Cricetulus griseus: one gene and its partner. The protein of the gene in region 1 interacts with the protein of each later gene in a biochemical or structural test. Links are inferred from orthologs where the notes say so. Each region holds a gene or a part of one and is shown in the gene's direction. Other genes may lie near its edges. The genes, in order: Thbs1 and Plg.

Region 1 (3,501 bases):
CAGTTTACTCAGTGGCTTAATGTGTGATTTAGTTGAAATATATGTGGCTGAAGGACTCAGCTCCCATCTACACCCCCCTCCTTAGGAATCCTCAATGAACGAGACAACTGCCAGTATGTGTACAATGTGGACCAGAGGGACACCGACATGGATGGAGTTGGAGATCAGTGTGACAACTGCCCCCTGGAACACAATCCAGACCAGGTAGGTGAACTCCTTCCAGAATCTCTCAGTGAGGAATTGTGTCTCCCTTTGTACACCTCTAAAACAGTTAGTTCAATAAACTCCAAACCCTCCCATCACTGGGGTTCTCAGGATCCCCCATTTGCAATGCATGCCTGTAAAGGTTGCCTGATATGAGCCCTTGGCAAACTCTCCCAGAGATTAGGATGGAAGTTCTGTGGCCTCAGTCTTGTTTGCTGCCATCATTAAGATAAATTACACAAAGATCTGAGACCCACAGTTTCAGTTGTATCTGATGCATGTAAAACAGAGGAAGGCAGTATCCAGAAGTGAAATAAGCCCGTGTTGTGGCTAGCAGCAGAGTCTGATAAGAAATCAGGAAGCTAAAAACCTCTCAAAGCTGGTGGAAGTCTGATTTCTCCCAGTCTCCCAGTGAACCCAGCCTCTCAGGCTCCTCCCAGCAGTGCAGCTGTAGGTGCCCCGGGTGGTGTGGATGGGTGTCAACACACAAGTTCTCAGGACCAGAGTGTTTCACTTTGTGTCATTGTACATTGTTTCTAGGGGAAAACACACACACACACACACACACACACACACACACACACACACACACACACACAGCAAGCTTTCTTTTTCCTAATATGATGGTTCTGAAAGGTTTAGCAATCAGACACTTAAACAGAAAATTTTAAGGATTATAGAAATGAGAATTTAAGTTTCTCCTAATTGTGAACTTGAATCATGCTCAAAGCAAGATGACTTCAAGCTATCATCATAGGAAACCCTCAGTGCCCTGTAGTCTCCGCTGGTCACTTGGCACTGAGATCCCTGCTCTGAATTTGGGTCTGCCAGACATTCAACATATTAAATAGCATTTAACCTCACTGAATGGGTCTTTGATTCCTCAGATTAAATTTTATAAGCAAATTCAAACACCCTAGAAAAATCTCAAAAGCAAAGAATTTGACTACTGGCAAGAAAACATCCAGTTTTTATATAAACAGTCCCTAAGCACCTCACACATATTGAATCCTAAGTACTCTGGAAAATCTGTTTTGAAAAAATTTTAGAGTTTGAGTTTATCTGAGCCAACAGATGAAATCTTTATTGAATAGATGTAGAAAGCCAAGTGCCTCAAAAATAAAAAAAAAATTAATCTCATCCATATTATGCAGACAGTCTGCATAGACAGACAGCTGCCATGATTCAAGGCCTGGAGTATAAGTTGACCTGTCAATAATTATGCTGTTAGTGTTAATGGGAAATTACAAAATGTACATAAGGGGATTTCATTTAAAATTTAAGTATAAACAATAAACATTGCATTCCCTGGAGTGATTTACAAATAATTCTGTGCTAGTTAGAAAGCCTTCTTGTGCATATTTTCAAATATTAACTATTACCTCAATTTTCAAGATAAAACCCTCTTTAAAACTTGATGGTTTTTCTGCAGTAATAGAGAGGTAAAAATGATCCCCACTGTCTATGTCCAACATGGAGAATGTTCCCTGCCCCGGGGGCATTGATGCTACCTTTGACCCTAGTGTGTTATTATTTGATTCACCCACTATTAATGTCACTCTTCCAGCTGGACTCTGACTCAGACCTCATTGGGGACACCTGTGACAACAATCAGGACATTGATGAGGATGGCCATCAGAATAATATGGACAACTGTCCCTACGTGCCTAATGCCAACCAGGCTGACCATGATAAAGATGGCAAAGGAGATGCCTGTGACCACGATGATGACAACGATGGCATTCCTGATGACAGGGACAACTGCAGGCTGGTGCCCAATCCTGACCAGAAGGACTCTGATGGTGAGTCACTGTGATCACCACTGAATAGCAAAACTGACACCTTAGCTGTGTAACGGAAGAAATAAAAACAGCATATGAGAGGGTTAAGTAACACAACACCAGTTTTTTGACAAGATGGTGAATTTGTGAGCCACTGATAAGAGCATTTCAGAACTTCACTGAACTTTTTGCCTTCTTTGACATTAGGTGATGGCAGAGGTGATGCCTGCAAAGATGACTTTGACCATGATAATGTGCCAGACATTGATGACATCTGTCCTGAGAATGTTGACATCAGTGAAACCGATTTCCGCCGGTTCCAGATGATTCCTCTGGATCCCAAAGGAACCTCCCAGAATGACCCTAACTGGGTTGTACGCCATCAGGGCAAAGAACTTGTCCAAACTGTAAACTGTGATCCTGGTCTTGCTGTAGGTGAGTAGTGAGTTCCTTAGTTCCATAGGCGAATACATCCTAAGGAGACAAATATGAATTATGACCATTGAACCTATGGATAGGACCTATGACCTCAGGAGATCTGGGAACATAATGGAGAACCCTGTAAAAGCCACAGCCTTTAACCTGACTCTGGCCTTGCCTTCCAGGTTATGATGAGTTTAATGCCGTGGACTTTAGTGGTACCTTCTTCATCAACACTGAGAGAGATGACGACTATGCTGGCTTTGTGTTTGGCTACCAGTCCAGCAGCCGCTTCTATGTTGTGATGTGGAAACAAGTTACCCAGTCCTACTGGGACACCAACCCCACAAGGGCTCAGGGATATTCAGGCCTGTCTGTAAAGGTTGTGAATTCCACCACAGGGCCTGGCGAGCACCTGCGGAATGCTCTGTGGCACACAGGAAACACCCCTGGCCAGGTAAGAAGCCACATAGTCTAGAAGGAAGAGTTGATGGGCCCTTGGTGGGGAACAGGAGAAGTGAGTGGGCTCTGGCCAAGAGGTCCCCTTTAAATCCTCAGGTGGCTTCAGCCACTTCAAACAAAGCCCTCCTTTCCTTGTCTTCTCTCTGCTCTATAGTCACTGAAAGGCACACAGTAAATCAGAGATACCTTGGGGAAAACTCCCTACTGCCCCTTCTCCAAATACAGGTCAACTCGGTGCCTTTTAAGCAGTTTCTTGTGGAATGAAATGTGAGTCTTCAGAGGGAGCTATGTTTCAACCTTTTCTGGTCCTTTTCCTTCAGGTGCGCACCCTGTGGCATGACCCTCGTCACATAGGCTGGAAGGATTTCACTGCTTACAGATGGCGTCTCAGCCACAGGCCAAAGACAGGTTACATCAGGTAAGCTCCCAGTGATTAGATTTCACTGTAGTCACACCGAATAGGCTCAAAGGATAAGACCATAATGAGATTTTTTTTTTCTTCTGTGCAGAGTGGTGATGTATGAAGGAAAGAAAATCATGGCCGACTCAGGACCCATCTATGATAAAACCTACGCCGGTGGTAGACTAGGCCTGTTTGTCTTCTCTCAAGAAATGGTGTTCTTCTCAGACATGA
Region 2 (3,829 bases), on another chromosome or scaffold:
ACTAAGGGCTGAAAAACTCACTAAGTTCTGAAAAGGCGCTTGTGAATCCACGAACCTCTATACAGATGAAAACTGGGCCATTTTGCTTCTGCAAAAAGCTTACTTGGAACCCACTCTTGCTTGGTGCACACCATTTGCCTGGATTCTTATAACCATTTTAACTGGTGAGGAGATTTGGGGCCCCAAAAGGTGGAACTACTTGTCCAGGCCAAATGCCTTTTGGTTTTAGTGTAGCTGAGTGGCATCCAGATGGTTCACTCCCAGAATGGCCCCAGTTGGTAAAGTGCCTGCCACTCAAACATGGAGACCCAAGCTCAAATCTCCAGAATCATGTAAAAAGCTTGGCAGAGACAGGAGGATCCCTGCAGCTCACTGCAGCCAGTCTCACCAACTCAGTGAACTCCAGTTCAGTGGAAGATATTGTCTCAAATGATGAGCAATCGAAGAAGACTCCTGATGTCAGCCTCTGGCCTCTATCAGCAAATGCCCAAGTGTGCCTTTGGTACCTGTGTGGACACATGTGCATGAACATACATACCCTCCCATACAATTGATCATTTAGCTCACAGGGCACTGTAGGGCAGTGTGAGGATGAAGGGTTTTCTATATTGTTCTATGTCAATGAAGTAAAGAAAAACAGCTCAGAGAATGCTGGGACATTGAGACAGGTGATGCTTGGCTGCCAGGGATCTGCAGGTGAAGGGTGGAAGCCTCTCGCAGAGCAGTTGCTGTAACATTTGATGCTTACCTTTCAGCCCTGCCACCATCACCAATAAAGTCATTCCAGCTTGTTTGCCATCTCCAAATTACGTGGTTGCTGACCGGACACTATGTTACATCACTGGCTGGGGAGACACTCAAGGTGAGATAAAGTGGCTTTGACCTACAGACTATATGACAAAGGGAACAATTTAGAGCAAGTTGCGCAAAGTCCTGCATGTGAATGTGGTCCAGCTCCTTTCTGGATTTGTCTGGGCACTTGCTACATCTCCACAGTCACCAAACTGTGAGGAAAAGGGCTGCTCCTTAGACCCTTAACTTACAGTTGCAATGCAAGCATCTTTTCCTCAGGGGAGAGGCTTTGGCATAACCTGCCAATTAGCCTGCACTTTTCGTGTGACTTTACTATTTTGAGTTCTCAAATATGGAGTTAACATAATAACAGCAAAAGTTGTAGTTAAACTAATTGTCCCCCCAAATACTCACATACTTAATGTGTGTGAGAGGCAGTTAGACAGGGGACAAATGGACAGTGTGGGGAGGACAGAAAGGCCCCAGCTGTCTAGATACAGCTGATAGGGTCAGGGCTGGAAAGAAACTTCATGCAGGCCCCACTATCACGATGTGTACTTACTTTAGGGACTCTCCTTCTCTCTTTGCATATGCCTAGTGATAATTAACCCAGCAAGCTGCCTTGGGGACAGTAAGAGCACCTTACAAACGTGGCCTCCCTCTCAGGAGCATTGGGGAGTGTGCTGGCTCCATCCTCTGGAGAAGTCTTTTTTTCAAAGAAAGATTTTGTGCACAAGCAGACACACACACACACACACACACACACACACACACACACACACACACACACACACACACACGCAGACCCACTAGTCTACATCATCCCAAACCTGGCTTCCCCTCATTGCACTGATTTCTACTCTTCCTCAGCACACTTATGATTCTGTAGCACTGAGGTCAAGGAAGGGAAACCTGGGTAACTGATATGTTCCCCAAGGAAGTGCGAGGTTGTTCTTAGTGCTTTGCAAAAAAAAAAAAAAAAAAAAAAAAAAAAAAAAAAAAAAAAAAATCACTCCTTTGTGTGAATGAGGAACCTGGTGCTCAGAGACATGTGGTCACACAGCAGCAGGGACAAAGGCCTGTTCCTGACTACAGAGACCTGGAGAGGAGCCCAGGTTCCCACTCACCAGCTGTGGATAATTAGGGACATCCCACTGACAGTGTCCTAGACTGAGAGCATCTGCAGGGCTGTCGTGGGGGAAGCAGTGAGAAAGTGAACAAAGTGTTGGGTGTTCGTGCGGCATAGATGTCACTCTTGAAGATGGAGCACAGTTGTAGCCAATGGGACTCCTTCTGGTAAACCACAGAAAATGCAACTTAAGTTGAATTAAGCAAAATTAAGGGAATTCCTAATGGCCTAGGCAGTCACTTGGCTTTTGTGATGGACCAGGCCTTAGGCTCTGTCCAGCACCACCTAGGTGTCACTCTGGCCACACAGGGGATTGCCTTCCTTGCAGCTGCACATGTTGAGTCAATTTTGGCTCTGCCATTGGGAATGAAGGATGTCCCTTTTCTCCCAGTGGCAACAATTACCTGCCTAGCTTGGACAGTTCAGACTCTGGTCATGAGCTACTTCTGAAACAGTTACACCTGGCTCAGACCTATGCTACATGGTCTGGTCTAGAGCTGGGGGTGAGGACCACTCATACTCAGGAGGAACGAAGAGTAGGTCCCTCTGCAGGCCTCTGGAATGTTGGGTGAAAGACTGCTAAGGAGCCAGAAAAAAAATCAACTTTGTGATCCATCTTTACTGTCAACTTGATTAGAATCACCTGTGAGACACAACTCTGGGCATATCTGTGAGAGCATCTCCAGGGGGGTTTAACTAAGGAGAGGAGATTCACCCACATCTGGAAGCCCAGATTAATTAAAAGGGTAAAGGGAGGTAACCCGTGAGCATCAGTCCTACCCTTTTTCTGTTTCCTGATCCACCAAGATGTGAGCAAGCAGCCCCCTGGCACAGTTGCAAACTCAGCTGTTGCCATTCCATGAGAGGCTACACTGGAACCATAAACCAAAAGAAATATTCCTCCCTTTTGATCATGTATTTGCTCACAGAAACATGGAAAGTATCTCGGTTAAAGATGGATCTAAACTCCTAAGTATCTGGTAGTAAACTCCAGCTCAGTGTCCCTGTGACACTGAGAAGTTAGCTAACTTCTTTAAGAATCAGTGTCCACATCTATACTACTTTATAAGGTCATTGTGGGTGTTAATATTATTCTATAATTAATATATCATCATTACTATCATCACCACCACTAGCACCATAATCTCCATTGCCATCATCACCATCAGTATCTTTGCCTCAGGCTCATCATCACCATCACTACTACCAACACCACAACTATTATCTATTTTTTTAAAAAGATTTATTTATTATTCTCTCTGCATGTTGCCTGCAAGCCAGAAGAGGGCATCAGATCTCGTCACAGATAGTTTGAGCCACCATGTGGTTGCTGGGAATTGAACTCAGGACCTCTGGAAGAACAGTCAGTGCTCTTAACCTCTGAGCCATCTCTCCAGGCCCCACCACAACTATCATCATCAACCCCCGTACTTCCACATCACTGTTACAATTATTACTGTCACCATCATCAGCAACATTTCTGTTTCACAATCTATCACCACCACAATCATCACCGTCTCCACCATCATCACCATGGCATCACCACGGCATCACCATACCCTCTCCATCATCATTGTCGTCATTCTGATAGACACCACTCCTTCACCACTGGTGTCTCCATCACATCATCAGCATCAGCATCTCTGCCATCACCATCATCTGTATCACCATCAACATTTCCACCTCACCATCACAGGATGCCTAGCACCCTCACAGTCATCGCCTCCACCATCACCATTATCATCATCTCATTACCGCAGTGTTGGACTCAGCCATGCCTGATTCCCCAAGCCCATTCATTCACCTTTCTTCCTACCCCACCATAGATTTCTGACACCATCCCATACTAAGCTCTCTGTCATTTCTGGTCCTGTAACACATCTACTGAGAAAATGATTCTTAGATGAG

What was found.
Region 2: the proteins of Thbs1 (region 1) and Plg form a complex in vitro, tested with the Homo sapiens proteins (2 studies listed by BioGRID). The link is inferred for Cricetulus griseus from reciprocal best matches to the Homo sapiens genes THBS1 and PLG.

Annotation. Positions count from the first base shown.
Region 1 is NC_048599.1:60,392,901-60,396,401, reverse strand, and holds part of Thbs1 (thrombospondin-1), read left to right. Parts: intron 1-85; coding exon 86-204; intron 205-1,771; coding exon 1,772-2,006; intron 2,007-2,192; coding exon 2,193-2,420; exon of another isoform or gene 2,421-2,436; coding exon of another isoform or gene 2,437-2,459; intron 2,460-2,590; coding exon 2,591-2,862; intron 2,863-3,187; coding exon 3,188-3,285; intron 3,286-3,376; coding exon 3,377-3,501. UniProt on the Homo sapiens protein: Adhesive glycoprotein that mediates cell-to-cell and cell-to-matrix interactions.
Region 2 is NC_048595.1:288,586,508-288,590,336, reverse strand, and holds part of Plg (plasminogen), read left to right. Parts: intron 1-755; coding exon 756-862; intron 863-3,829. UniProt on the Homo sapiens protein: Plasmin dissolves the fibrin of blood clots and acts as a proteolytic factor in a variety of other processes including embryonic development, tissue remodeling, tumor invasion, and inflammation. In ovulation, weakens the walls of the Graafian follicle.